Arabidopsis thaliana: one gene and its partners. The protein of the gene in region 2 interacts with the protein of the main gene of each other region in a biochemical or structural test. Each region holds a gene or a part of one and is shown on either strand. Other genes may lie near its edges. The genes, in order: XBAT32, ACS7 and CPK16.

Region 1 (10,866 bases), on a different chromosome or scaffold from region 2:
TGTTATTTTTTGGCAATTTTCCCAAACCTCTTACATGAATAATATTGCTAAGTTTTTGCAAAAAATAAAGTTTATTTCCGAGTTGACAAAAATAATTAGTATTTTTTCTGACCCGAATTAAAAATATGGAGTATCAAAGTCGTCGTGCCCCACTTTCTATATTGGTATAAGGGATTCTTTGACTTAGACAATCTGAACGTTGAAGAATTGGTAAATATGCATGCATGTTACACTTCTTCAATTTCGAAAAACTTACTTTTGTTTCACTGTTTCTGCATATAATTAAGAAATTAAAAACCCATCAGAGAGAAAACAGAGAAAGAGACAGAAGCTTGACAATGTATTGTCACATCCCATAGTTTTGTGATGATTACACCTATTTATACATTTGCAGCTTTTTGTTTCTTCTCCTCTTACATATAAAAACGCCATTAAATACAATCAAACTGTTTTTTTTTTTCCTTTAAACAAATATATCATCTTGTTTAGTTGGAGATTCCGAGATTGTCTTAACTCTTAACCAAATTCATTAAAAATATACAATGTAAAGTAAGTTGTCTAATTATACCGTACGTGTGTTTTAATCGAAACTATACATGTATCTATTTAGGAAAAATTATTCATCTTTTTTGCTTTGAGTTTGGAGGTGATTTGATGTGTTTGATATCCAAAAGAGAGAGGGAGGTGAGCGTTTTGTATTGACTATTAATTTACTACACGAGAGAGAGGGTAGAGAAGGACATAACACAAATCCAATGAATATCCTGTCTAGCTTTATATAAAATTTAGTATTGACTATTGCTTGGCAGTTTCAATTTTGAACTTAACTTATTTTTCTGAAAATGGGAAGCCCTAATTTTTCTTAAATGATAAGAAAAGAGGACAGATGAAATTTTAAAGGTCAAATGGGAAACTCCCCAAATTTCGTAATTCATACGGTAAAAAGTGTGGCATAAACCAACAGTCTCAGCTAAAACTAAAATCTTAAAAACCGAAGCAATTCTTGATAAAAAAAAGCGAGCCAAACTTTTTTCTCAAAAAACGATCTTTTTTTTTTTTTTATCAAAAACCTCTTTAAAATTAAAATTGTTCGAATTTTTCATACGATCATGTTAAATTCGGAGCATAATATGTGATTTTTTCTCATTTTCTACTATAAATCTAGAGCATATGCATGATTTACCCAAAATACTGTCTTTATGCTTTTAAAGTGTGTGAGGTTTTTAGCCTCTTTACCTCTAGCTTTCTTACTCACAAGCACACAACTACTAACTTGAAGCATTAAGAACTGACTTGAAGAATGTTGAACAGAGTGCTTATCAAAGTGCTTATCAACTAGAAATTCATTTAACGTGTAACTTCAGCTATCCTTTTGTATGGGCACTCGTATTTTGTTGTGATTTTTTTTTTCTTAGATTCTGACTATTTGTGGAATTAATCACATTACTTTTTCAATGTAACGTGTAAAAGTAGATTAATAGAAAAAACATGTAGATTAATAGAGAGCTTTGCATGTTCTTGCATTTTTTTTATCTCTACATATACTTCATTCATAGAATTAAATTTGGAATTTACACACTTTTTGATTATTAAATAATTGTTTATATAACCTTTTTGTAAATGTATGTATATTTTTATTAATGTTGATTTTGTTTTACGATTTCTATGGCTTCCATTAATGTTTTTTTTTTGTTTTAAATAGTACTGGTCTAGCTTCCATTAATTTTATCCTCTTATTTCCCTATATAAACACAAACTTCACCTGCCCTCTCACATCATCACTTCAGAGCAAAAGCATCATATATATCATTCCTCTTCTTCTTGATTAGGATCATGATGATCATCATCATAATCATCATGATATTTATGATCATAATGATGATCGTTTCTCTCTTTCAACTTTTTCTATCTTCTCCACTACATCATGGTTGTACTTTCGAACGTGTGACTATCTCACGGAGAAGAAGATTTCTTGGACATTAGTGTTCCATTGGCATTATCCTCGCTGAGCTTTTTTTTTTCTCTATGAAAACAGAAAAAAACAAAAAATAGTTTTGTTTCTACTAAATCAGAAAGTTCTTCTATAATTTAGAAGATTTTTCTTGACCTTGCAAGGCTTATTAGTTTTGTATTGTTCTTTTATTTTCTTTTATCTTCTCTTCATTTTTGTATTTTATTTTGTATTGGTTTGTTGTTTCTATTCCTCCTGAGCTTTATGTATAATTCACTACTAATCCCATAATTTCTCAGTTATTAGTTCCTCTGAAACGTCTATCTAAATATATGTAATCTTCGTTTATCTGTTAAGTGTTTGATAAGTGATACCTTAACGATGCTAATGGCTACGCAAGAAATTCACTCTCAAACATAATTTTATATACACACCATTTCAATGTAATGGCAAGGCCAAATTAATTATTTGTATTACAACATTTTCACTTATTACAAAATGAATAATCACCACACCATTCACAGAATCAATTAGCACATTTTTAATCCCAAAAAAACTGGGATCAAAAATTTTATAAAAAAGGTGAAAAAAAAGAGGATTGAGTTTGAGTTAGCAAGCACTTCCACCGGTTGTAACACAATGGTTAAGTGCAGAAAACCAAGAACGTTTCCCTTCAACCTGCGACGTTGATCGCCTGAATCCTACACCGGATCTTGAATATGATCCACCAATTAACCGGCTTCGAGGTTCATCAACATCTGAGCCACCAAGGCAGAGACTTGGAGGAAACCGGCGGCAGCTAAGAGACCGAAACGCTGATGATCTAGCGGATTGTGGAGTTCGAGAACCCGTTCTTGACACAACCGGTTTACAACTGTAGTGAGGGTTAGTTAGGAGAGCTGTGTCTAAGACATCAGAGGAGCAAGTGCAGAAGGACAAGGAGATGCTTGTTCTTGATGATGTTGATGTTCTTGTTGTTGCCGTTGTATGGGGAAGTTTGGTGAAAGATACAATGCCATTGCGACAGAGAGGACACGGGACAGAGCCTGGTGTGACGTTTGAGGTCTTTGACGATGTTATGCTTGTGGTGCTTAGGTATAATGCACAGTTTGTGCAGAACTCATGAGCACATCCTGTTATGTCACACACAACAATCAATTCAATGTTTTAAGCAAAGATCATTTTCGGTAGTGAAAGTGGTACATTACCATCTGCTGCCACAGTGCATTTTCTTTCCAAACAAACGGCACAAGGGTCACGACATGGAGTCAGACAATCGTTTTCTCGCCAGCCGCATTCTCTGAAATCCACAAACGAAAAAAGACCAATCAGCCACAGAGATCATGCGATCATATAGGGTGTTTCAGTTAGGTGTAAAGTTTACATACTGAGCAATATTGACAATGCTCATTAAAGGAAGGCAGAGGAAAGGAGAGGGGACATTTGGCAAATGGAGTTGTGGTTGTTCTGTTGTTGGGTTCAGGATTTCTTCCAGCCAGTTTCGGTGCCATGAACGAGCTACCATCATTGGTGTCCATCTAAAACCAAAACATGAAGCGAATTAAGACATTGAGGTCTATATCAAACTGGTTGATTGGATTTAGCATGCTGAGAAATAGAGTGATCTAATACCCGTTGGAGTTTACGGCAGCTAAACAAGCACCCTTACTGATCAAAAGCTGAGAAAAACAAATGCCAAATGAATTCATATGTGAACTTTAAACGAAACATAACAGAAGCATCATGATTGTCTAGTTAAGCATGTATACCTGGCAACACTGCGTGTTTCCACCACATGAAGCATAATGGAGAGCTGTACTCCCAGCACCTTCAATATATAAAATCAAAGAGCCGGAGCGAAAAACAAAATTAAGTCTTTCACATAAAGAATCTCTTCACTCATTGTCAAAGTTAATCAATTAGAGCATATGATAGTAACCTATAAGATCTATAGTAGTTCCATCTTCCACAGTGACCTGAGTAACCGAAGCTCCCAAATCCAAGAGTAACTGCACCGTCTCTATATGTCCGTTCAAAGCCGCCACATGAAGAGGTGTGATTCCACCATCTGCTGCTCTGTTGATCACTTCGTGAAGAACACTACAACCACAACATCCAAAGAACACATTCAACTAATCATCATCAAGTGACTACAGCATTACCTCAATTCTTTACAAAAAACACTTTTGACCTAGAATCGAATCCAGCAACTGAAGTTTTCTTATTCTTTAAAAGGCTCCAGCAATTAGGAACACTTGGTATATACTCCGAAAGCAAGATCCTGATACACCGAGGGTGACCATTTAAAGCCGCAAGGTGTAAAGCAGTACCACCATTTAAGTAATCTGATCTGTGAATCTAAAACCCGAACAATCAAGAAACACAATCATCATTGTTCCAATATCCCTGACATATTTTTAAATCACAATCAGTCAGAAGAGTTGATCAAAGTCTTACATTAGCACCAAAAAGAATCAGAATCAAAACAACCTCCCAATGACCATGTTGACAAGCTTGCATCAAAGCCGTCTGTTTCCAAAAATTTCTTGTATTCAGACTACTTCAAAACCAATCAATAATGCAAAGAACAAAAAGACACTAATCACAACACCTGTCCACGGTAGTTCCGGAGATTAATATCAACTCCTGATTCCACCAACAGAGAAACTATCTGAAGATAAACAAAACCCAAATCACCAATCACCATAAAAGTCAGAACTTTAGAATCTCTAATCTTACAAAGTATTGATCTTTCAAGTAATTACAGTTACCTCGTGGTGGCCTTGAGCGGCGGAGTAATGAAGAGGAGAGTTACGAACGCCAAAAGTAGAGTAACGAGCGAGTCTTGGATTGTAATCTAAGAGAGCTTTAGCTTCCTGTAAATCACCGTCTCTGGCCGCTGATACTAAGCGTTCGCCGGACGCAGAACAACCGAATGAGTTTCCGACGAGGCTTAGAAACCTCATCGTTTTACGATACAAAATTGAAATTTTGATCGGATCAACCCTAACAAATCACCATCAACACAACAACACGAACAAATTTTATTGGATTCACAATTTGCAGCAAACCCAATTCGAGAACCAGCTCGGAAGAATCGAAGAATTGAATTTAATTTCAAATGATTGCAACAAGAAAAATTTGGTTTTTATTTTCTTCCTCTGTTTTTGTTGTTGTTGGTGTTCTTTAATTCTCTTATGTACAGATCAGATCATCATCATCATCATCATAATGATCCCTCTTTAAGAAAGAAAGAAACTTTAAAGAATTAACCAAAAAAAAATCAAAACTTTAAAAGAATTGACCAAAAAAAGCTTTAAACTTTAGAGGAAAGATCATCCAGAAAACTTCTCTGACAATTGTAATACAGAGAACATCAAAAAGAATGGTGAAATTAAGTTGTGGGATTTTTTTTTTGGTCAATTGATTAAGGAAAATAACAAACAATAATAACAAATTGGTGATTACTTTATTTTTAAACCAAAAATGGAAAAGAATTGTTCTAAATTTTTTATTGTGTGTGGAGGATCTCTTAATATTTTGTGATGGTGACACTAATTAATTGACTTTTAATTATTTGAACAAAAAAAAAATATGACAAAGCCAACGTTGTAGCCAGAGGTTTCGATAAACCAATAGCCGGAATTCGCGCGTTTTTTTGTTTTAACCAAAATCTTAATGATTATAAAGATTCTCTAACAATGAAAAAAAAAAGACATTCTTCATCACACCATAAGAAAGCTTTCTCCTTTATTACATATAATTAAATAAATAATCTTACTATACTGCGTAATTGAATAAATATAGGTTCTTTTTGTGCCAACAAATAATGATTCAATTAGCAAGTCTCCAAAAGTAACATGACATTAGTGGAAAAACAAGTGTATAATAATGAAATGTGGAGGAGCATGTGGGTCGTGTCACGTCATGCTTATAATTGCATTTGCATTAGCAAACCTATAACATTAATGACTTCAAATTTTAACATTAGCAAATCAGAATGATCATGCCAACTCTCAGCAAATATATTTATCAAAAAAACTCTCAACAAATATTACTTGATTTTAAAGATGACCCAAGCTATCTTCAATCTCACTTTCTGTAGAATCACTAATTTGTGTCTCACAATTGTGCAAAACTGTGGCCAGTTGCTGTAAATTGACAGAAAATTCTTTAGTTGACAATTTGTCTTGTACTTTGGAACTTGTAGCAGAGTTTCTTTGTCCAGAGTTAACACTATCCAAACTAAACTCCAACTCCCAAACTGGATGTACAAGCTTAAATCTCCACTTGTGCTTTATGTGGAACTTCTCCACACCAAAAATGAGTTGTGTAATTCAGTCTGAAACATGTCCACTATTCCACATCTATGTTCTCTCGAGTCCACATCACACAATCAAGTAGGTGCATGTGCACATGTTGGAACCACAAACACAACACCCTCACTGTCCTAGTGTTTTGTAAGAGAGAGATGTGAAGTAGTCTAGAATGTCTCATCAAGTCGTCCTCCAAATGTAACCATATATCCTCACCTTCTGTACACATTTTCAAAATAGCTGCAATGGAAAGTGAAGTTCCTGAAAAGTCTAGAGTATAACCAGCTCAATTTTGACTTTCTGATATCCTTTGTTGAATGGCCAACTCCATAGACATTAACACACACTCATAGTTTGGCTTCATAGTCTGCTTTGACAAGCCAGATCCAGACTTTTGAACATTAATTCTCATTCCTTCCCATGCACTGCTTCAATTTCGCGAGAAACATCTTGCATAAGCCTATGTCCCAAAAGTTTCTTCAAGTTCTCAAACAACATGCACTGCAGCTTTCTCGAATTCCACCTCACAACAGAACTTGTTTTTTGTCATTTTGATCTCCTCTAAGCTAAATTTAAACTTGAATTTCCAAGCTTTAGGGAACTTCATATGGTTCATGTCTCTGACATACTGCATCATCCTCATTTTGCACCTACTGTTCCAGCTTCCCTTGAGTCTTTTTATGTTGTTCTTGGTATAGCCCTCTGCAAATACGCATGCTTGTAATTTTGTCAGGCTACTTTTTTTCTTCATCTCGTTGACAAATCTATAACAGATTCTGTTAAAGTGTCTGTCTTTCGTTCGTAAGATCATTACGTTCATATAACAATATCTTTGATGCTTGTTTTGTTATTCCCAATTGTCTTGATTAACGAAGAAAAAAACGAATCCTTTTAATTTTTTCTCCTCTGTTTGTTAATCCGTTACTGCTCTGTTAGTCTAATGTCAAAGAAACCACGTTGCTTTTGAACAACAATACATCTGTATTGGGAAATCTATGAATACTTGACTTCTATATTTAGGAAAACCACAACTCACTTTGCACTGAAACGTCAACGTTTTGTTTCTTTACTTTTTTTGGTTACAATAACAGAGTCTTCCTATTATTCACTTTTTTTATCTTCTTTCACTTATTTCCCCATCTCCTTCCTCTTGAATCTTTCTCAAGAAAACCATGGATCAGAAAAGTGATTCATTTCTCTCTGTTTCATCGATTTCATTTTCATATTCTTCTTCAACAGACAAAGACTTTGATCTGATATGCATGATTAGTCCCATCGTACTTCTCTACATCACTCTCCTCTCCATCATCTTCTTTGTAGCTGCTTTGATTCACCTTCTGGTCAAATTCTTACATAGACCCCAAACTCGACTTGACGACGCCTATGATGGCATTACAGAGAGTTCTACTGCTCTGCAAGGTCGGTATCAAACACGGTTTAATCTCCATGACGCAGAAATTGACCAATCATTCATTGATGCATTGCCCTTGTTACATTACAAGACCATGATTGGTCTTCGACACGACCTCTCTGATTGCGCCGTTTGTCTCAGAGAGTTCACAGCCGAAGACGAGCTCCGGCTCTTACCAAAATGCAGCCATGCATTCCATGTGGAGTGCATCGACACGTGGCTCCTCACAAACTCAACATGTCCTCTCTGCAGGGACAACCTCCTCCTCCTTGGCCTCACTGGCACTGCTTCGTCTTCCACTATTGTCCTTGTGCATGAATCTGATGGTGACAATTCCCAAGACTCCGATTCGTCGTTCATGTTAACCGATCTTGATGATGTCGAGTCAAAATGAGGCCTAAGTGGCTGCTGATTTCTTGACTGGGAAGTTAATGGCATTAAACTCTAGATAGGCCTAATTGGGTCAACGTGAAGCCTGTATTCTTATAACCGTCCGGCCCATTTTCTTTTGCCATCAACTCATATACGTGTACATGTATTGGTTAAATCCTACCAAACGAACCATGTTGGAATTGAAACAACAATAATGGCATAAAGTATGCATAAATGAGGACCACAACAGATACATTGAACATTAGACATTGCAAGATTGGATTGGCAGAGACAGGTTCAGTGGTGATGGCCTTGATATGGGTTCCTTGTCTCTTTTTACTCTGTCAAAACATTTTTCAGACAACTTGTTTCCTTCCATATCGTTGTCATCTTTACAGTTTCTCTATATATATGGCTTTATATCTTAGCTTGGAGTGCAAGAAGTGATGAAGATGGTGAAGTGTAAGAAGGTTAGGCACCGCGGTCGCAAAGGACAAAAGGAGAAACCCAAGTTTCGAGAAACTTGTATGCAAAGAAACCTCGGGATCCTTCGCAGGATTGTACCAGGCTGTGAAGAGATCGAAGACGAGGAAGCCTTGTTTCTCAAGTCAATTCAGCATCTCTTGCTTCTCAAATCTCAGGTTAATTTACTTAAAAAGCTAGCTGATGTATGTGGAGTCTAATTAAAAGAACGTAAGTTCTCAAGTTGTTTATGCATTACATTATAAGATCAAGCGAGAGAGACATAAGAAAACAGAGGAGGGGATAAAGTAAAATTACACAGAGAAAAACGATGAACAAGGCGATGAATTTTTTTAGTTTTTGTTGTAGAAAGTGAGAGCGTAATTTGTACTTAAGGAGGAAGAAGAGAGAGTGAGCATGTGTTGGATCGTTGTGACCCATGTCTTGTAACGATTGTAATCGTCGGCCATGTCTAACTTGATAGCTCCTCTGTTCGTCCTCAGGACAATGAGATAACAAGTGTCCTCTATGTTGTTGTCTTCGCTATCTGAATCTTTGTAAAGTTCCACATGAACATTCGTCACAATACCTAAACACAAAACACATACAAAACAATGTTTTAAATCATAGCTTGAAGGTTAAGTAACCTAAAACAAAAAAAAAGATTGAGAAGCTAGCTGCATACTTTCTTTCTTAGTCCTGAGTAGATTATGTTTCTTCATTTTAAGAATCACCTGTGGAGATCAAACACAAGATCATCGATTAGTAGACGTCATTGGTTAAGAGTAAGAGGGATTAGAGCCAAGTTTAGGACCTTTCCATCTTTGTTTAAGACCATAGAAACCGTCCTAGCCTTGAAATCCCCTGTTTTAATCCAAAGATCTCTTTAGTCTCTCTACAAAACAAAGGAGTTCAACAAGAAAAACAGAGGATTTATATACCATCTGGTGTCTCGACGAAGAGATCTGTTCCCTTAGCAAGAACAGATGTGTTCTTATCGAATTCAGGAGGCAAATAAGAAGAGTCTTCAATAGGCAACACAGGTGCAGAGCCATTCAATCTATTAATCTTGCAACCTCTTCTTGCTTTCAGCGTCGCGGCACCTCTCAACGCTTATTTTACCAAGCACCAATGTCTCAGAAACAGAGCATTCTTATAGAAACAAAAACAAAAAACAATCTTCTTACAAGTTGTAGCTGAGGCAGTGAGAGTGAGTATCTCACTAACACTTGTCCCGGTCATGGCTGAACCAATCATCGTGCTGAGCTGGTCTCTGTTTGCTCCCATTGTCTCTGCCATTTGCGCACATTGTGCCGCCACCACAGCCGCAGCAGAAGCCACAGCAGTCTCCCTCGTGCTAGGTCGACCGTTTCCACCATCTTTTCCAGCGTTCTCTGAAGCCACGGCGGCGAGAGCAGCGGCAAGACCAGCCAATGACACGGCGGCGTGGACTTCAGCTCTCTGTAGCCTCACTTCTTCCTTTCGTTTCGCCTTTATCTCTTTCCACCATTTCTTTATCGACGGCGTAATTTTCCATGGAAGTTTCTACAAAACCATTATTGTTTTGGTTTAGAAAACCAATATTGTTGATTTGATAAATCAAAACCAAACGAAATGGCCAAAAGGGTTTTACAAGTTTCTTGCGGAAAAAGCCTTCGTAGCTCAATTCCGGGTGCATTGCTTGTTGCATCCATATCCATGACTGTTCACATCATTCAACAAATTATAGTATCAATATTTAATCTCTTAACTTTCTTCACTTAATTGTATATGTCATTCTATCATGTAGCAGTTTTATTTTCAATTTCTACAATTCCAATATGCTGTCGTATTACAATTTAAATCATATATATACCGAATTTTCATTCGAATGTGCATCAAATAAACATAGACAACATAAAAATGAGGAATATATGTTGAAAACTATGATATCATAATGTTAAACGTTACTGTGATTTTTGTTATTTTAAAAACTATATTTTGCACACCTAATTTGTTATACCTTCACATCATTGGTTTTCCATGAAGGCATCGAGGGCTTAAAATCTGGATCGTCCATCTTCATGCTCGTATCCATCATCTACTTTTACAATCATCATAAATTAAACACTAACCAACAAAATTGAAGAAAATATAACAAAAAACAATCTCTGGTTACTTACAGCACAAGAAACAGGACTTGAGTCGCCTTGAAACTTGGCGATCGATGTCTCGACGGGAACAATGGAACGATCGTAGAGGATAGGGTCTGGATGAAGTGATTGAACAGCGAAATTACACCATTCTCGAGACAGAAAGTCCATAGTATCTGGATGTGCCTCTGAAGGCGATGGATTATGGTCTGTTGATGTTAA
Region 2 (10,078 bases):
GTACAAAGCGAGTAACAAAGTATATCTCACCCAACACCGTATTATAATTATATGTCATCTTCATTAAACACGCTAATCAAATATATTAATTAGTCATTGGATCTCATTTTTTTGCTTAATGATTAGCTAGCTATCATATACAAGTACTTGATTAAACACCGAATGCCTAATCTGACTAGATTGTCATCAAATAATACTCTGGATCCACTGACATGTGATGTCATGCATTTTTATCTTCTTCTCTTTTTTTCTCGTCTCACTAAAATCATCTAAACAAAAACAAAGATCACAAGCAATAATACACGTACGAAATCATTTAAAGAATTTTTGGAAATTCAGTTTATTTTTTGCCTATTTATTTTTAGTATATAATTCAAAGTCTCCAACACATACACTTGCAAATTTGAATGAAGTTATGATACGACGTGGGTACTAGACTACTAGTAGTACAAACCACTTGATTACAAGTATTTATTTTCAACTACAAATTCGACTTTATTAAATAATAAGTAAATGTACAGTCACATTTTATATCATCTGAATTAGAAGAACTTTTTGCAATTTTTCAATAGCAATGATATAGCAATCATCCAACTAATCTATATATGTAAGTGTGATATATCAATCTCTGTGTTCGGAATTAATGATGATGCCACAAAATTTGGTTATTAAAAAAAAAAAGTTTCTGATCAATGAATTTCTGTCCGTACTTTTTACAGATTACATACAATGGATGATATGAATTATTGAATTATCATTTAGAAAAAGAAAAAAAACGGAACTATACCAATATTCTAATTTAGTAATTACTAGAACTGATACAAACACTTTTAACCTAACCACTTTTGGGTCCAATATAAGTACGTGTATAGTGTGTAATGTGTATTTCCTTTTGACAATAAAGATTTATAGGTTTCGGGTTGTTGTATAGATAAGTCCATAAGAACATAATTGTGAAGCAGCTCGATCGTAATACGACACGAAGACGAGACCAATGTAGTAAAACTAATGACGACGTTGATGATTAGTTCACACGTGGGACTTGGCCAATGATTTTAGGCGCCAGCCTGTCAGCGTGATACGCGTGTGCGGTGGGGACTGATCTGACGGCTAAGATTCTTCCAGCTGTTCAATTGACCTTTGACCCTCAAAAAGTAGCATTGGGTTGGAAAATCCTAACGACCGCGACACACGTGTGGATGAGGTTTTTTATTCTTCACATTTTTGATTCTAAGAAGTAAGATTGAATTTGAACATTTACTATCAGAATACATAAGGGTAGATAAAAAAAAATTCGTTTAGTAGGCAAATCAATCACATTTGTAAATTTACGTACCAAAGAAAAACAAAAGAGAAAGTAAATGGCCTCATAATTCTTGAAAGAAGTCGTGGGGTTTTGATTGTATTTTGCATCATCGTGCGTTTAGATTAGATTCGGCATTAGTTATGAATGAAAAGGCTATATTTGATTCGTTAAACTTGCACTGTCTGTATGAAAAATGCTATTTTTATTTGAAAATATCATGTTTTTGCATGTTGTTGTTGACAAACGTACAAAAAAAAAAACTTTCTTATTATACGAAAGTTTGATATAAGTCTATCTTTGCACCTGTCACAAAACTTTTGGTACCAGTTGTCACAAAATTACAAATAAATTATTGAATCTTTTGACCATTACTATAAAATACACGAACGTACTAAAGTCAAAAGTATTCCCGTGCAAAGCTTTTGGAACTAAATATATAAGAGGCACCAAAATTCGAAGACGCCTATCACGTAGCCGGTTTTTGAAATGTATCATAATTAATCGGTTAAGGAAACTGGTTAGAATAAATGTGTATCTGTTTTATAATGTTATTGAGATTAATGATCAATTCATGCTAAAATTAACAAGAAGAAAAGGTAACTAGGTTTGACCCAAAACTTCGAGTACAAGAAATTGTATTAGATACGTAGATAATGACATGAGCATGTATAAAGTCAAAAGTAGTAAAGTACAAAGACATAATGAAGCATGCAAAATTAAGAGACTAAAATGTCAAATCGGTGATTAATTTAAAAGGATTATGCATGCAAAGTCTACTAGTCTTACATTCTTAAATTTCCTTGACGCTTTCGAAACTCAATTTAATAAGCTTAATTAAGGGGGGTTTCCTTTGGAAGGACTAGTCAAATCAAATACTACTTCTCCTAATTAGCTGTAAGTTGAAGTATTATAACATTAATTTTATACATAGCTATAAGCTATGTAAGTCAAAGTATGTACGTATATGTTTATTATTTGTGCATGACATAACGAAAGCAATAAATACTCATAACATAAAAAAACTAACTAAGTCAAAGTATATATATGATATGGATTTATAAAAATACGTATAAATTTGGAAATGTTGGTGCAATTGAAAAATATTCAGAATTCAATTGTAAATTTAGAGTTCGCCAGGTTCAACTTTACCTATATACTATAGTCCTGACTTTCGATCTAGTGATTTATCTAAAGCAAGTTTTTAATATAAAAAAAATGATGTATTAAACATGATTGGTTTAGTTCTAGGTGCATGATGTAAGAAATGTCTATAGTTCTGTTGCATGCAACTTCTATACCATAGATACCATTCCGGCATTCCCTGTCATTATTGTATAGATGAACTCATTCCAAATACAATACTGTATATTTATACACTTTTTAGAAAAAAATATGTGTGTTGAATACATGTAACTATAATTTGCATTATTTATATTATTTTAGTAGAGACCGTTGACAATGGTCCATTGTCTTTGCACTTAAATTGATTTGTTTTTATTCAACCAAGTGGTATACGACCTCGACTTGGCCAAGAAAACGAAATAACTTAGAGACTTTAGCTAGGAATCAACCATTTGTTTAAAATTTAATCATTCAAATTTCGTTATTGAAAATGAATATCTGGTAGACCAAATTTTAAAAATCGCCCGAATGATATCACAACAAATATATTTCTCATTGTAACGTACGGAAAACTTGAATGTGCACTTCTTTTATAAGCTGATTTGTTTGTAATTTAGATATTATATTTCGAGTTATATGATTAGTTAAAGGTTTCTATTATGTTAATCTAGAACAAACATCAAAATGTTTTATTTAAGAATATTTGTTACTGCAATTAATTATTTGGTTATCAAAATCCTAAAATTATACATGTAACCCTAAATACAATATAATAGTTGTTTCAATATTTTTTTGTCATAAATCGTCATAAATACCTCACTAATTGGTAGCCACACAAAACTAGTTCGATCTCATCGAAACCGTGTGTGTATTCGGATAACTAGTATTAAGAGAAGAAAAAGAACACATTTCTTGTTAGAGTTGTACAGTGACCAAGTCAAAAAAAGACCCGACCACATAACAACACTAACCTCTTTACAGAAAATTACAACAACAATGACATAACCATATTGAAATAAAATTATTTAGACCCATTTTCTGTATACGACAACAAATATTAACTTGACAAAAAAGTCAACAAATATTACATACAGATGTATAACCTTCAAGAACAATAAGTAAATCTGTATCTACTGTCTATAATATATTTGCGAGGTGTATCATTATCTTAACAATATAAATATATTTGTTTTTGCCGTACTTAAGTAATAGGGATAATTTTCCGATAGAGATGTTTCTGTAATGCTTTATATTTTAAAAAATTCGTTTATAACAATAAATATTACAAATCAACCTTGATGAACATGAAATTAACTTGCTTTGTCCAAGCAAGAAAACAAACAATAATATCTAGAAAAGAGAAACAAATCAAAACCCATTTTACATCAATGGGTTTAAATTAATTATCTTCTCTTTCCTAAAAAATTAATTACCCCTCCCCCATATATTTAACCACCAAAAAAACGGATTTACTTTACTTTTTTTTTTAACATTTCAAAACCTCCTTCGTCGGTCCATGAACTCATGTATTCTCTTCAACGCAATCTCCAAAGTGTTCTCACTCATATTAGCAAAACAAACCCTAAACCATCCGACCTCCGAGCAGTGGCACGAAGATCCCGGAGATATATTCAGGTTCAGCTCCTTTAAGATCACATCCCAAAGCTGGAGCTCGCCGTCTTTAGTTTTCTTTTCGAGCAAGAAACCCAAATTCATCCAACAAAATAGCCCTGCGTTCCCTTTCAAACACTCAATCCCTGCCTTCTTAAGCCCTTCCACAATGGTATCGTACCGTCTTCTAAGTCTTTCCCGGTTTATCCTAATGTACTTCTCCGTAAACTCCTCATCCGACAACATAGAAGCCAGCATATGTTGTGTCTGAGACGAGACAAGCGTGAAGCTCGACATCCTTCTCGCTGTCCGAACAACATTATCGTTGTACGAGTATATAGTTCCCACGCGGAAACCAGGAAGACCAAGATCCTTGGAGAGACTGTAGACGATGTGAACTCGTTCCTTTACTGACACGTCATCTATGTTTTCTACGATCTCGGCAACGCTTGTGAACTCGGAGGCATGGAAGACGGAGCCGGAGTAGATCTCGTCTGAGACCAAGTGAATATTCTTGCGTACGCAGAAGTCAAGGAGATCTTCTAGAACCTTCTTTTGGACCGTCGCCCCTAATGGGTTCGATGGGTTGGTTATGAGCACTCCTCGGACTCTAATGTTCGCGTCACGAGCCGTTTGGTACGCCGACTCTAGCGCCTCCGGGGTTATCTGGAAATGGTTCGAGCTGTCGCAGTGGATGGGTACTATTTTCACTCCGGTTCTCCATCTCAAATCTCTATCGAATCTGTAATGAAATAAATAAACGGTTCGGTAAATACAATGCATTAAATATCGAAAATAAAAGATTTGCTAGATTATAACTTTCTTTTAAATGGTGTTAGTTAGTTGCAGCTATTTCTTTGTAGTTTATCTTCATATATACGAATGACCATATTTCTTAATTTAATTCATTATATATCTTATTATAAAGTGTGACGTACCCTGGATAATACGGTGTGGGAACTAGAAGGGCGTCGTTAGGATCGGCGAGAATGAAAGTTAAGAGTTCGTTAGCGGCGGTGGCTCCGGCGGTGAGGACGATCCGGTCAGGATCAAATCTAGCTTTGCCTCCTCGAATCTGTTCCATGAAACTAGCCATGGCTTGTCTGAAAGTTTTGAGACCGTGGTAGTCTTGAAACAATGCGTTTTCACGGAACCCAGGAGCTCCTTTTGATCCCCACATCGAACCTTCTGGATTCTTCTTCTCCAAGTAAGTTTCAAGAAGATCAAACGAGACCTGTTTGTAGGAAAAAAATGATCGAAAGAGACAATTAATACATTATCGCAATATATAACAATTAATAAAAAAAAGTTGACTATATGAAAGATTTTATTACCTGATTCTCAGCGAGACCCATTTGGATGACACCGGAAGGGTTATGAGATTCGTCGTAAGGATTTTCGTCGTAAGCTTTCCAGCCGGCGAAGTACGGTGAGTCTTCGCCGTGAGTGTCTGAAACCGCCACTCGAGAAAGCTCGACGTTGTTGTTGTTTGATGATCTCTCCATCATTAGAGGAAGACCCATTTTTTTCTTAGAGCTTCGAACCTGACACGTGACACGTGACAGCTCTAAAAACACAATCGGAGAGAGAGAGGGAGAGAGGTTGAGAGAAAGAGAAGTGTGTTGGAGTTAAACATTTGTGTGAATGAAGGAGTATATATAGCAGACGTGACCAAGAGGAAAGTCTTTGACAAGTTCAATTTTAATATTAGTTTACTTACATACAGAGAAGAAGTTTGTGTAAAGAATAAGGAAGATTCGATTGTGGAAAAATACGGTGTCATTGACCTGCAAATGGATGAATAGATAAGAGTGTTTGGCTATTTTTATTTTTGTTTTTATCTTGAAACTTCTCGGTGGTTCATCTTTAGGAGATCGCCAGTTCTATAAAACACTGATTATCAATTTTTAAACGTAATGTTGTTTAGACTTTAGTCTGCTAAAAATAGTTTAGTTTCTATTATTGTGTACGAGTTTAAATGTGTTTTAATGTTGTTTGTTTTTGGAAAACTTTCTAAATATTTTGGTTTAGTCGGCTGCTACGATTTAAATCCAAAAGGGTCACTAATGCGTTTTAGATAATAGTCTCGTAATTAATAATCCTTCACTAATACAATATTGTTACACAGAAAAAAAGATTCTCGTTTACCTATTTTTCACTATTTGATATTCTTACAGAATGGTCACTAAGAAAACTGTAAAGTACTTTTGTTTTTTCTTAGAGACCATAACAAAAGGTAGTTACTTTTTTTCTTTGAGAATACAAATTTACGTAAACAAAGAGTCATCAGTACTAGTATGTCGTTTTTAACTACATACAGTTTCTATATAAATTATACGCGTCTGTTTTACATTATGTGTGTTAAATATAATAATAGGAGCTGGAATAAGTAACTAATCAAATTTATTGGGTATACTAAACTCCATAGATGAAAGAAATGAGGAAACAACTAAATTAAATGTTCTGATTCGATGTTTTAAGCAAAATCAAAGATCACCTTTTGCCAAAATCAATTTCGGACAACTGTTAGCTTATGTCTTCTTCTTCCTTCTCTCTTGTTGATACTTATTTTTTCTACTTAACATTTTTTAATTTATTCATTTATTTCCATAACTTTAGTTATGATCTATAGCCCAAATACGGTGGTTGAAATTCCGATTATATGGATTTGGCATCATTAAAAAAATGAGAAATTTACATTATACGAGAGGAGTGGGTGGGTGGCTATCCATTTACACTTTATTATATCTAGACAAAAAAAATTATGATAAAAATCTATACCATATTTCTGGACTAGTATTAGAAATTAGGAAATTCGATCTTTTGCTGATTACCATGAGAACAATTCGTCTCTAATTAAGTATGACAATATTTACGAACCAGAAGTCAGATGGATTATTATAGTTTCTTCGCGTGAGTTAATATGATTATATTTCGATAAAAAAAGAAGTAATATGATTATATTTAGATTTATACAAATAAAAACCTATGGTAATCGAACAAAATTACATTTCTCAAATACTGAGTTGTTGAGCTAACCGGTCAGATTGTAGGTCATTGCATCGGTATGATTTTTATTTGTTAGTAACATATATATGAAGAAAGAATTTCTATATTTTATCTAAAAGGTGATATATCTATAAAAATTAGTTGTGGGAAACAGTTTTATATGTTAATTAGAATTAATTTTGGCCGTATTAATTAATACGATTACCATAGGTTTCTAATTTTCCCCTAGTGGTCAAAGTATGCTCCCTAATGGGTGATAATTATGCTCCCTATTAATGGCGGTACGTACGGCTAATCGAAACCTTTGTTTAATTAAGGCAGAATTTAATTCTCTCCTACTCATGAACCCGCTTACACATGCTACTGTATAAATCTTTACCATATAGTACACTTTAACACATGACGATAAACAAAACAAGCTACCTTAACATATTTTTAATCTAACAAAATTAAAAAAGAGAAAATACTTTTACCACTTTTCATGTACACACAAAAAAAAACCCCACTAGGTTTTAGTATGAATATATAAGTCCATACTGTATTTTAAGATTTTTAAAAATATTTCCCATGACGATATATTATTTTAAAACTTACATGTCAATATATAAATACGTTTATACATATATCTAAATCTTATTAATTAGTTCTATTTTTCCTATATGTAATTAAAACTCTTATAAAGCTCATCCAATTTTATATATTAATAATATAAGATGTGTGTGCACAAAAAAAACAAATTTGAAGCAAAAAAAGAGAGAGGATATTTGGAAAGATCTAATAGTGGTTAAAAGTCCAACTACGTGACACATATACATACAATCATACGATAAGATTATGATTCCAATTTGTGAACAATATATGTTCATCAAGAATATAAGTTCTTGGAGGATCTTAGGTGACCCCACATATCGCAATTAATAGTGAGTTATGAAATCAAAAATTTAAAACTTTAAAAAGAGGAGAACTAATTAACAGAAAAAAACTTTTTTTTTGTCGACGTTTTAACAAAGATTAAAAGCACGAGTTTCTCATATCTATATTAAGTTAATAGAGTGTTATTGATTCCATTGCGTGTTGGTTACAATTCGTTTATAGCACTGGTTACTAATTAAAGTACTCTAAGGAGATTTTACTTTTTTTCCAAACTAAATGCCTGCTTTTATTACTAGAACCATCATAGCATAATAGTTGTATGGTCGCAATTTTGCCCGCATGCTGAGATTAAGATTTTGTGTTAAGATTGGCTGTTTGTATGTTTGGACTTAGAACATCAGCCTAAATTAAAGGGTATTAATCGACATAACAATAGGACCCAAATGAAAATTAATAAATTTAGGTAGAAGATAACGAAAACAATGTAAACTTATAGATGTAGATGCACGTATATTGGAGATATACACAGTTATACACACGTGTTCTTACATATGGATGTATATTCGTATTTACGTAATACTAATAGACAATTGTAATTTGCATGTGATCGAACCCACCAGCTTAAGATTCGGAAATAAAACTGTAGATTGAATCTCAGTACATGATCAACACAAAGGGTAATGCTAATCTATATGTTTTATATGGTCTTATAAATAGAAATTACAATAACCTAGACTTTGAAGAAAAAAAACTAATATACTATGTGATAAATTTTTAGGATTAGTGTGAATATCTATATATATATTGCAAAATTTAATCTTTATTTCAACTGTAAAATATATATTGAGAAGACGGGATGGTTAGAGTGTTATAGCTAGCGTACATGGAGCCAAACTCCGATAATTAAAGCGTTTTAAACGTAATGCATCACATATACATGTGTGTATATACCACAACGATTTTAGTTTGCAGAGTGAAAAATTATCATTTTCTAAGTTGAATTAAATGATCTATATCATCCTCGAAAGACATTGTAACGATCCACATTTAGAAACGTGATTTATTTACACATTAATTGTTTGTTAAGTTTTGAAAACAAACATGTTAGATGCAAGCTTTTTGGGGAGTTAATGAATTGGTTGATTTCTTCTAGTTTAATGTCATAGATTGGCTTCAAATCATGCTGGATTATGTCTTCGACAAACGTGACAATCCAATGGATTGTTTACAATTTTGTGTACTTTCATAGGAACATAGAATCAAATTTAGTCACCAATTGATTGATTGGTTCTCATAAGTGTATAAGAAATTGCAATCAATTACTAATTCTAACACGAAATCTTCAAGAAGAAGTTCATGATATCTTACGGAGCAATCATTGATGTATGTACTAATTTAAATACTAATAGCTCGACTATTTTAGTATAAATTTAAAATAAACAAAGAAGCAAGTTGTAATAGAGAACGTGAAAGAGAAGTGGAGTTTGGGGACTGTTTGTGCGGCTAATTAGGAGAGCACCTTCATGAAAATATACGAGACATGCATCAAACGATATTGCGATCTATAATCTTTGTTATTAATTAAGTATATTATCTAGTTATATAGCTATGAGTCTATGAACTTTTTCTGTTAATGTTATAAACTATTGTTCGTAATATGTGGATTTCACTAATTAATGTGTGTGGAGTGTCTATTTATTTTCGACCATTGGACTATTTTCATTAGATAACCAATGCACCTACTTTAAAAAGTACTTACACAGCTTAAGTAAAGCTTTTTTAAGAAAACTATAAGTTCTACTGATATTTCTTGTCATTCACTTACACATACATTGAAACCCATTGTACAGTAGGTCAATACTGTATCATATGCTAATTCTAAAAGTTGTTTTAAGAAGATTTTTAACGTGATTTATAGCTAGGTTTCCAGAGGTCCCACTTTCAAGGAGTTGGGGATGAGCTACATGAATGCAAGTGTTTAGCTCGAGCCATAGACAATAGATTGTTACACATGGTAACTATATCCGAAAGGTTGATATACCAGCAATTGGAGGATATTTCATTATCAAGCAATTGAGAATACTTATTTCTTAGGCAAATCATATAGTGCGTTAGGTAATGACATCTTAGAAGGAAATAAATTATACCAAGAAGATT
Region 3 (11,241 bases), on a different chromosome or scaffold from region 2:
CTTTTTGCAAAAAGAAAGGGATATTCATAGTAAATCTAAAGTAAATATGACATGATTTAGATTATTATGTTATACTTCTACTAGAAGAGAAAGTGTTTCACACTTTTGGTTGTTTTATCTAAACAATATATTATATTTTGATATTATATCTATTTTTATGCAACTTATTTTGCATCCAAATTTTCAATATCCCAGCTCACTTTTTTAATTCAATGAACCAATACATGGATGATATTATCCGAAGTTCAATTGTGAAGAAAAAAATGATTCGATCATATTTTCTTCTAGAAGCAAGAAAAAAAGAACATCCCAATTACTTAAACTAATTATTGGATATCTATCGTCTATTATATATATATATATATTATATATTTTGATAATGTATGGTGTCGAACATCAACAATCTTCTGCTTCCCATTGTTTATGGACAGCATAGCTTTTGTCATGACAATGCTATACTTAAGAAAATGACAAGAGTTCCTTTTTTTATTTATTTTTCTTTTAATGACAATAGTGAATTTATAATTACTTTTTTTTTGTTCACATTTAAAATAGTTATATATATGTGAAAAGAATATGAGTTTTTTTTTGTAAATATTATGAAAGATTCGTGAGATGCAAATGTTCCAGAACATGGCATGTTGAAACAAGAGTGACACATGGATTATGATGACGAGAAGAAAAGAACCTTGTCTGTCGTATTTGCTTAGCTATTTTGGTGGCCCTGGTGAAGGCAATTTAAATTGACTATAATTATTATCATCATAAACGTCATGTTAGTATAACTCTGAAATTCTGAGCAAGAAATTTGACCCAATGTTAACTCTTTGAAATACCGTTATTTATATAACTTTTACCCAAAAAAATTAGAATCATAAAATTAACCCATGCATGCATACCTAGTTGATTGCACAACGTTCAAACTAAAAATGTTTATAACGCCCATAGAAAAAACTCTCAGTAACCCTCCACATACACATATCACATACATCGGAATTCACGATATGCGATTGTAACGTCTCTAAAAATTACTCTTTTCACAGTCGCGTGACAGGAAAAAATTCACTGCCACCAAGGCAAACAACGTTATCGAACTTTCGATAGACTAAGACCATGAATGGTAACATAGACCACACCCAAAACCGCACCGCAACAGTATTAAAATCTTTACATATATATGTATTTATGTATTTTTGTTACTATTTGACATAGATCTTCTTTTCTTTTATTGTCGATGTCGGCTGATTGTGCGACTAGAAAAAAAACACTCCCAGCTTTTTAAATTAGGTGACTACAACATAATACAACTAAAATTTTCTAAGAATGCTATATGATTTCAGTATGTAAATCTTACCTGTAACAAAAAAAATCTGTTTCTCCAAGGCTACATACTATTGATTGCTAAGTTGGAACACTTTAAGTTATACATAAATTTTTATTTTCTTTATTAGATGGTAAATACTAAATACAGACTACTTACTACTTATGGATACAAAGGCTAAAAACGCGACAGATCCTACGTGGCACGATAAACCGTGTTGATCCTACGTGGCACAACCACCCAGAATCTCTGGGTTTGCTCTAATTACAACCAATTCAATGGTTTTGGACCAACTCGACACATCGAGTCAACTCGCTACCAGCACTGATCGGTTTCCCAATTCCGTCCACCGTAACTGCCGTATCCAGCCGTTAACGGCCGGCTCCGAAGAAGAGTCCTCCGATCATAAACGGCGCGTTTCTCGGGATCCGAAAGCGTGCAATACGCTGCGTGGATCTTCATGAAATCGTCCGCCGACGAGTTATCCCGACTATTTCTCGCTACATCGGGATGACAGATCCTGGCTAGTCGCCGGTAAGCTGATTTGATCTCTTGACTCGTCGAGCCGACGGGAATTTCAAGGATCTCGTAGAGAGACGCGGTTGCTGAAAATCGCTGCGGGATTTGGCGTAATCTCGGTAGATCTTCGGCGCAGGTGTAGGACGCGGTGGTTGTAGAAAGCGACGGCGAGATCCGGGAAATGCGTGACGGTGGTGAAGTAGAAGAGAACGACGGAGAAGAAGAAGAAGAAGAAGAGAGAAATGGAGTAGCGAAGAAGGTTGGGGAAGAAGAAAGCATCGTGAAACGACGGCGTTTTTGTTTGTCTTTTGGTTTAAGTTCCGATTTGGGTTTTGTGATGCAGTGTGATTTGAGATGAGAAATTAGAAAGGTTTATTTATAGGGGAAGAAGTGATTAGTACGTATAACGTTTAGTTAGCTTTTAAATAATTGAAGATTAGGCAGATTAATGTATCTTGTCCGGTTAAGCAAAATCGAACCGGGTTGGGTCAGTGTGTTTTCGGATCTTGAGAAAGCTGAGTCAGACTAAAAGGCTTATCCACAGTTGTAAATAATGGGAGAAGTGAGATAAGATTCAACGAACGAACGAACTTGAGAGTGGCAATGAAGTTATTATTGTCATCTACCAAATTTTTCTATTTTTGGTATCATATAACAAAACTTGATAACATTATTATTCACATTGTTATTATTTGTTTTCTTGTTTTGGTACTCATGAAACTTAAAACATTCGATTAAATGTTATCCCTAAGCGAATATCCGGAAGAAATCGGTAAATATAGTTGTATTACTGATCTACTTTGTTTCAATCGGATAGTTACTTATTAACTAAAGTTGTAACTATTATTAACTAATATGAAATATCACCCATACTGTTGGAAAGATCAATAAAAATATGAAAAGTTAAAAGGACAACGATGTTTCATATTTTGATACCAAAAAGATACATTCATTTTCCATTCGGTATCTTTTTAACCATTCAGTGTAATTTAAAGATACATAAAATGTAAACAGACACTATAGAATCATGATACAATATGTATGAAATATATGGACTAAATAAATATATGGACTTCTTTTTTTCTTTTGTGTCTTCTGAGATTTTTATTGTTAAAGGTTGTTTATTGTTACAACAAGAGGCCTTGCATAATTAGCTTTTAGAAGTTTAGTGTTACAAATAATTACACTAACCACCAAACAATTAGTCTGATTAGTAATCAAAAGGGAGAAGGATCCCCTCAACCATCAACTAAAATATATGGACTTTACAATTTAGGGACATCGGTCTAAAATCTATATATAAATTTGTTTCATATCGTGTTAAATAATGAAAACCAGATATTTTATTTAAAACTTTAATTTTCTAGCGCTATATATACATATATTTAAATTTATATATTCTTATTATATTTATCTTATTCTTTTCTATGCATTTTAGAGATATATTATTAAGTATAGGTTTATGTTTACATATGTATATACTAATATACATTATAGAACATACAAATATCTCATAGCAAAAAAAATCTAAACAAATATCTAAACTTTGTAACATTAATTAGTGTGTTTTTAGTTTTTTTTTTTTTAAGACGGAAAATGTAGTTTACTATCATTTGGCTATCTCTCTTTTGATAGTCCACTTAAACCTAACTTGATCATTCAAACTTCTAAACACCAAAAAAAGTACATACAAACATGGTTTAGGCCTTTACGTGTACCATCTCTCTCAAGTCTCACCCTAATACCTAAAAGCACTCTTTCCACACTATAATAAAACAAGCCAAATGCAATGCACTTTTCTATTGATAATTCTAATTTCTTCGTTTCTTTTGTTAAATGTATAATTGTAATGCACTTTTCTATTAATAATTAAAATTTCTAAACACCAAAAATAGTATATAAACGTGGTTGTGTGTGCTATCTCCTCTTATCCTAACTTCCTATTATATAAAACGCGCTATTTAGTCTTGTCACAACTATTTAATACAAGCCTAATGCAATGCGTTTTTCTATTGATAGATAATAACGAATTTCTTCATTTCCACGTCATAATAATCAGAATCTTACTAGTATTTAAGTCTACATCTAGCTACAAATGACTACAAAACAAAATTTTAACAAACTTTTTATTTGAAACACTATTAACTTTTTTTTCTTCTATTCATAACTTACATATGAATAGACCTATAAGACTATAATGAACATCCATATAACATATTCATAACACATGTCAGTTAAATCAATCATAATTCACAAACCTGTGGTTACACACTCTGATTGATCATAGGTATACACAATACAAAAACTCATCAACTACATTGTGCTAATTGACTATACGAATATCGATTTCTTTTGCCGTTGCTTATGAAAGTTTATAGAAATATGTTACAACAACACATTACTACACTTGAATCCCCATTTTTCTTTCTATATAAGGGATCAAAACTTGTCCAGACTTTGTAGATTTGATTCTCTTTATCCCTCTCCAAAATATTGTAGAATTTCTTAGACCTTGCGAGAAATAAGATAACCAGGAGGGCTTCTAACATTTCTTGATTTGATACTTGCAGTTCTCAAAAGTCTACGAAACTCTTGGAGACTGATTTTACCATCATTGTCAATGTCTGCTTCTTCAAGAAGTGGCTCAATGGACCCTTTCAAGCCAGTATGCTGCAAAAACAAAAACATATAAAACAGAACTCATTAGTAATGTCACATTAATTGATTAAAAAGCATATAATAGTGTATACCATTCGAAGTTCCTCTGCTGTTATAAATCCATCTCCATCTATGTCGAATTTTTCAAATGCTGCTCTTGATCTCTGTTGCCACTTCTCGGAATCGTGTTCCTCTAATTGGTTTACGTGTAGCGCAGCGGCGACAAACTCGCCAAAGTCCACGAATCCATCTGTGTTGCTATCAATCTGCATAAATGCAACACAATTAAGAGAATTTAGATTGAGTAGTATCATCATCATTAGTATTAACCTAAATTTACATGCATACCGCTTGAAGAATCTCGGCAACTCTTGCATCCTTAAGCTTCCAAGGATGATCTTTCGCTAGAGCCTATATATATAACAAGAACTGATGTCAGGCTTAGTATTTCCTGATCAATTTTGCTAGTGATTGAGGTATAGTTTTGTCTTCATTTTTACCTGCCTCATCTCTTCAAGGCTAATGACACCATTCTTGTCAACATCAATCGCATCAAACTGGTCTCGAAGATCAGCCAACTCTTCCTCATCAAGTGTCGTTGCAAGAGCCTAGACCAAAAAGCATAACTCATTTAATAAAAACAAACACATCAAGAAACTCAAATGAAACACAAATCTCTCTTCTTGATTACCCTTAAAGCGAATTGCTTAAGGCGGCTAAATTTCACAAACTGACGCATGTTGTTCAGAACAGATATGTCTATGGGAATCTCAGATGCATCTCCTCCTTCTCTAACCCATGGATGTGCTGCAACCAAGAAAATCCACAATCCTTACAGAAAGATCAGAAAAGATAAGAACAAAATGATTTAAAATGGTGTCAAAACGCTTACATAGTGCTTGTGCAGCTGTTAATCGCGCTCTCGGGTCTTTTACTAACAACTTCTTGACAAAATCTTTGGCGCTGTTGCTAATGGTTGGCCACGGTTTTCTTCTGAAATCAGGTTTGTTCTTCAAAACCTATGTTTATAAACACATCTTCATGATTAGAGATTTACGATTACTGATGAATTTTTACTTCAGGGAAACTACACAAACCTCCTTGAAGATACCGTCTTCAGTCTTATCCCAGAATGGTCGTCTCCCGCAGAGAAGAATGTAACTGATTACACCAATACTCCACACATCTGATTCAGGTCCCGACCTACGTTTTAACACTTCAGGTGCTACATAGTATGCACTCCCAACAATATCATGAAACTTTTTGCCTACATTGTTACATAATGGTTAGATCAAAGAAGTGATATGTCAAGAAAAACTTTAAATCACTTTGCTACTAACCTGGCTTTATGAAGTCAGATAAACCGAAATCAGTAGCTTTTAGAGGCGAATCTTCTTCGGTTGATTTGAACAGAAAATTCTGTTTGAGAAGATGATTAGTAAAAAACAATACTTGTGAATAAAACCAACTATACACATTCAGAAACATGATGATGGAGTAATTAAGCTACCTCTGGTTTCATATCTCGGTGAACCAAACCGCGTAAATGACACTCAGCCGCAACTTTCAGCATTTGTCTCACCACCACGGCCGCGTCTCTCTCGCTATAACGGCTATCCTTCCTGGAAACAAGCAACAACAATAGCTTAATTACTCAAAAAGTAATAAGACTCTAAAATTTTAGTAACACACATGTAAACGTATTACTAAAGTTACCTGGCTAAAATACGATCAAGTAATTCACCACCCTCGCATAACCTAGAGAACAATATATCATCAATGGAAAAACTAATTAGCAACAGAGAAGTTTTCGCCCTTTGCCTTTCTTGCATTACAAGAAAAGAAAAACACACGACCTAAAAGGCTTTTTACTTACTCCATAACTATATAAACAGAGTTCTTGTCCTCGAAGGCATTATAAAACCGAACCACATTTTCATGACCAGTTAAAGCTTGTAATATCTTCACCTCTCTCTTTACATCTTCCACAGCTATCGGAATTGTCATCTACCCAACAAAAATCAAATCAAGAAACGCAAGAATCCGAATATATTTTAAATATATAAAATAATCTTTGTGCTCCAAAATCTGAAGAATCTTAAATAAAATAAAACTCAATGATTAGAAAAAGACAGCAAAAATGATTGATTCATCATCATACCTTGGCCTTATCGATCTTCTTGACGGCGACACGATCACCGGTTTTTTTATCGGTAGCGACATATGTATAACCAAATTGACCATGTCCAAGCAATTTTCCAATGGTGTAACGGTGATCAAAATCTTTAGCGTACCCAAAATCTACACGCTTACCGTAGGGGATCGTTTCTCCATGTCTCCTACCGTTATTGCTTATAACTTTCTCTCTCACTTTCCCGTGCGGTGGCGTATGCCGCGTCGGCGTTTTCTTAGCCGTTGCATTGCGTCGCGGTTGCGTTCTATGATCCTTTTGGATCGTAACGGCCATGAAGGAACATGGAGATCGCGGTGGTCTGGATTTAACAACCGTGAGAGGAGGATGTGGGTGGGGATTCCGGCTACTGCGGTTGTGGCCGGAGGATTTGGCGGCGGAGGAGAAACAGAGACCCATGAGTTTTTTTGTGGGATTTCGGTTTCTTAGACCCTACGCAATGAGGATGTTTTCTTAGGGGATTTGTGAGGCATTAATGAATAGGAAATGAGGTTGCCATCGAAACAGCATTGCCAGAGGGAGGGAGAGAGAGAGATATGGAGAAGGAGAAGCTTCGATATGCGTTGTGTCAAGAAATAGACTTTTCTCGGGTGAAACTTTTTTTTTTTTTTCCATTTTGCAAAATAAATTTTCTTTTTGGGTGTAGGAAATTAAAGAATTTCAGGTTATAAAGTATTTGAATAAAATTATATATATTGTGCTTAGATGAGAAATTTTAAAACTGATTAATGAAAAAGTGGATCATCCAAATATCCAAGTAAATGTAACAAGCAGATTATTTGATAACAATATGTTTTTTTAATATTTTTGTTGAGCAGATTATTTGATAACAATATGTTTTTTTAATATTTTTGTTGGTTAACGATTGTTGAAGTTGATATCTATGAATGGTGTACCGGAACAAAATAGTAGTGATGCGACTACATATCGTCATATAGTTGGTACATGTGAGTATGCAATACATATTACATTTAGTTTGTATAATTGGCTATATATTTCTAATTTTGACATGTGTGGCCAAAATATTATATTAGATCAAATAGAGGAGATCAATTTTATCAGGTTTTCAGCTCTAGAATTTGTAAAGACAAATTCAATATATTCAAGATGTGTAGAGAGTATAGAAAGTGATTCATGAGTTTGTACAAGAGAGAGATCAAAGTTGCTAGTTGTCATCATTATAAGCGTCTTTCAATGCAATGCAAGCTGCTTATAAGAAGCTTCTGCACGAGCTTCCTCCAACTTTGCTGAGAGCTCTTTCATGAAAGGTGTGCTTATTCCATGGCTGATCCGCAGAATGTCAAATGCCTTAATCAATGAACTCACCGCCTCTTTGGTTTCCCCCAGCAACCTGCAACATCACAATTATACCTTTTTTATCCGCAGAATATGATAGTAACCGACACCATGTTATTGCACTCAGACTCAGATTCACGTAGAAAGTTAAAATATGAATGATAATTTTTTACAGGTAAACGAATGTTTCTTTCCACAGAGATTCTAACTTAGGGATATCTTGAAGGCTTATTAGCCAAGTTCCGCCTAACACTAGCCAATCTCTACGTGTTCCCACTTCCCTGACTGAAAAAGTCACAGTAGAATAAGAGTCTCCAACACTGAGAACATGTAGCTTTGATAGTTGAGGGAAAACACTTATTATTTGGTCTTAAGGATTTTGACCGGAGAATTAAATAGTCGTGATATAGAGCATTAATCTGTCTTCAAATTCTAGTTCAGTTTCCGCAGCTCAAAATCTATCAAAATATAAACTAGAGAAAGCAAAGAAGCTTTGATACCATTCGAGTTTTCCTTGGGTATAGAACTGCAGTCCAATCAAAGGATGGGTTGCCGGATATACTCCTGCAATTTTATAAACAAGGTAAGCACAAGTAATAACCACCAAAAGAATTTGAATGATTTTATAATTATTATGTAGATGTTTCTGTTTAAGGTATAATTAGCAGCCATTAGTGCCAGTACAGTTAGCTCTGATACTGCAGGCAATAAGTTCCTACGGTAATTATAAGTAAATGTATCTATACAAAACTCTTAAGAGCTTCGTACTTATGTTCAAGATATAAATCCCACACCTAGATCTATATACTAGAAGGTATCCTAAAGAAAAGAAAAATATTGATCGAACATGCGTCAAGGAGCGAGCAACGTAATAATCAAGATGAAGTAAACATACTTTGGTAAACAGGGACTATTAGTCTGCAGTAATTCAAAGCTTCTCTCCAGATTTCTACGTCCATTAGCATCTGCAAAAGAATGTGTAACGGCAAGCTTTGAGAAACCATATCTGTCTCGTCTTCAAAACTCTGTAAAACTTCCAAAAGTCCTAAAGATACGTACCTTGAGAAGTTTTTCACGGGTTCTCATTAAAGGGATGGAGAAAGAATGGTAAAGCTTAACTTGTAGTTTCTCAATTGTCTTATATAGTTCAATAGCGGCTTGTTTATCTGAAAATGATCAAAGATTTTCTTAGACAACTTGCAACACAGCTCAATTTAACGAAGATCAGTTAATCTTGTTCAGACATGTAAATGCAGGTATTGAGGAAGCAAAGGCAACAGATACCTTCTGCGGAAGGAGATGTAGGAGCCTTCTCTGAAACTGTTTTGAGATCACTTGCTAACTTTTTAACCTCTTCCTTGCTCCTAAGAAGCAAGCATTTCTGGCAAACGAAGCCTTTTTCTTCTGCAAAAGTAAACAAATGAGGACTGGAGGGATCAAGAAATGTTCTTGGATACAAACTACCTAAGTTAAATCTTAACATACCAGGATCACGGAGTAAGAAACCGGTGCATTTCTCATTGGCACACCGATAGCCTTCCAATATTGCACTTTCTTCAATATCATGAGGTTTTCCCTTAAGTATCAAAAAATGATGGTACAGGTTGTAAACAAAATATAGAATTAACTCCATTCGTTGATAAGTGGGAGAATTAGCGACTGCTTACAAAGTTACTGCAACGGGCACACTGACAGTGGAAGAGGTATTGTTCTTTCAGAGACTTCTGCCGAGTCAGAGTGCTTCCAGCGGTTTCAATATAACTGATAGTTATCTGACCAAAGACAAAAGGATCTAACAGCTATATGTCCGTGTGCTACTAGCAATTACGAAAGACGAGAGACGAAACAAAGCAAAAACTACCTCTGAATCCTTTGATATGTTATCCATCGCCCGAACAACAGCCATCTGCTCCTCAAACACTAAAACCGCATTGGGAGAGCAGCTACAGAGCAAAAGATTTAGGCAGGAAACAAAGTGATTAAAGAACACAAAGAAAAAGCATTTACCTGTGATTAATGATGGAAACCAATGGAAACAATCCAATCCCTTGAGGTCTCAATTCGCTATCACAAATGCTATGAGCATTGCATGAGAACTGTGTTCAGTAGAAATGAAAGTGGCTTAAGTAATTATCCCTAAACAACATTCCAATAAAGACGAATACAAAAAATCCCGGGACCACATCACCAACCTTTGAAAAGTTCTCGGCGATCTCTCTTAGGTCAACACTAGGAAATTGAAGAATCAAGTTCACAAGATTAGCCATCTGTGCATACAACAACATCTGCTTTTCATCAATCTCAGACATGTCTAACATATAAAGGTTAAAGAATACACATTTCTAGCGGTAAAGAGATCATCAATTTCACAAAGCTATAAGGCACACATAGAGAGGATACGGGACACCAAAGCCTCCACCAAACTATAATTGTCTGTCGTCGTAATTGGCAGGACCTGGACAAGATAAAGCACATTAAGAATTTAGCATTCATAGACTGCTATCAATATGACACAAATAACCAATGAATCAGCCTTCTTCTCCATATTTAGCAGCCAAAAACAAAATATGGATGTATCTAGACTTCTACATAGCTGATGATAACCTTTTCATTTTGCAAATTCCTCTTGATGTAAAGTCTAACCATCAGACGTATTGTAGGAGTAACAAACTTCCGTTTCTCCTTCTCAAGTCTAGTGAGAGCTTTGCATTCATCGCGATGTAACTTCCACTCTGACTTCTGAAAGGAATCACAACAAACAACAAATCTTAGAATATGAATCAATCATCAACTGAATTTCTCCAGAGAGGACTCATATCAGATATACCTGGCAAGAGCTCCCACAGTACCAAACCACTTGACAAGCAGAACATTTCTTAAGGTTATTGGTCTTGAAACATCCGTCACATCTTGATTCCGAGGATGTATTATTCGGAACACATATATATGGCTTTTGGCTTAGAATCACTTCTCCTGGAAGAAAACACAGGAATCAGAATAAGTCTCAGACGAACAAAACCCTAAACCCCAGCGAGAGAGAAACGAACGAACCTGGACGAAAATCTCTGGCAGTGAATAGAGAGCGGCCTTTCTGTGGGAGATTCGAAACGCCTAAGCAGCGATCTTGCAGAAATCTCTGCAAATCCGCCATTAGTGAAGCTTCCATTGGAACTTACGCGAGGTTTCGAGAACAACGGTAACTTTGAATTTGAGTCCCAAATCAAATCTCAAGTTTACAACAAATTAGGGTCGGTTT

The links.
Region 1: of the proteins of ACS7 (region 2) and XBAT32, one has a biochemical effect on the other in vitro, tested with the Arabidopsis thaliana proteins (one study listed by BioGRID).
Region 3: of the proteins of ACS7 (region 2) and CPK16, one has a biochemical effect on the other in vitro, tested with the Arabidopsis thaliana proteins (one study listed by BioGRID).

The regions. Positions count from the first base shown.
Region 1 is NC_003076.8:23,392,229-23,403,094, forward strand, and holds XBAT32 (uncharacterized protein), read right to left. Parts: upstream 5,423-10,866; 5' UTR 4,918-5,422; coding exon 4,723-4,917; intron 4,623-4,722; coding exon 4,563-4,622; intron 4,481-4,562; coding exon 4,409-4,480; intron 4,310-4,408; coding exon 4,143-4,309; intron 4,052-4,142; coding exon 3,891-4,051; intron 3,780-3,890; coding exon 3,721-3,779; intron 3,631-3,720; coding exon 3,584-3,630; intron 3,490-3,583; coding exon 3,340-3,489; intron 3,252-3,339; coding exon 3,160-3,251; intron 3,085-3,159; coding exon 2,561-3,084; 3' UTR 2,357-2,560; downstream 1-2,356. Other genes in the region: AT5G57750 (RING/U-box superfamily protein), read left to right, coding at 7,440-8,072; AT5G57760 (uncharacterized protein), read left to right, coding at 8,497-8,733; AT5G57770 (auxin canalization protein (DUF828)), read right to left, coding at 8,866-9,101, 9,198-9,246, 9,327-9,376, 9,454-9,624, 9,700-10,057, 10,146-10,214, 10,515-10,592, 10,675-10,866. UniProt on the Arabidopsis thaliana protein: E3 ubiquitin-protein ligase that mediates ubiquitination of ACC synthases (ACS). Negatively regulates ethylene biosynthesis probably via ubiquitin-dependent degradation of ACS4 and ACS7 enzymes.
Region 2 is NC_003075.7:13,270,791-13,280,868, reverse strand, and holds ACS7 (1-amino-cyclopropane-1-carboxylate synthase 7), read right to left. Parts: upstream 5,670-10,078; 5' UTR 5,563-5,669; coding exon 5,374-5,562; intron 5,274-5,373; coding exon 4,978-5,273; intron 4,782-4,977; coding exon 3,923-4,781; 3' UTR 3,681-3,922; downstream 1-3,680. UniProt on the Arabidopsis thaliana protein: 1-aminocyclopropane-1-carboxylate synthase (ACS) enzymes catalyze the conversion of S-adenosyl-L-methionine (SAM) into 1-aminocyclopropane-1-carboxylate (ACC), a direct precursor of ethylene.
Region 3 is NC_003071.7:7,765,540-7,776,780, forward strand, and holds CPK16 (calcium-dependent protein kinase 16), read right to left. Parts: upstream 7,244-11,241; 5' UTR 7,089-7,243; coding exon 6,660-7,088; intron 6,506-6,659; coding exon 6,375-6,505; intron 6,257-6,374; coding exon 6,215-6,256; intron 6,121-6,214; coding exon 6,009-6,120; intron 5,918-6,008; coding exon 5,839-5,917; intron 5,766-5,838; coding exon 5,596-5,765; intron 5,518-5,595; coding exon 5,391-5,517; intron 5,306-5,390; coding exon 5,190-5,305; intron 5,107-5,189; coding exon 4,999-5,106; intron 4,910-4,998; coding exon 4,847-4,909; intron 4,765-4,846; coding exon 4,591-4,764; intron 4,511-4,590; coding exon 4,346-4,510; 3' UTR 3,982-4,345; downstream 1-3,981. Other genes in the region: AT2G17880 (Chaperone DnaJ-domain superfamily protein), read right to left, coding at 1,637-2,119; SDG37 (SET domain group 37), read right to left, coding at 7,881-8,040, 8,486-8,549, 8,881-8,950, 9,045-9,151, 9,270-9,389, 9,471-9,561, 9,653-9,757, 9,847-9,928 and 6 more. UniProt on the Arabidopsis thaliana protein: May play a role in signal transduction pathways that involve calcium as a second messenger.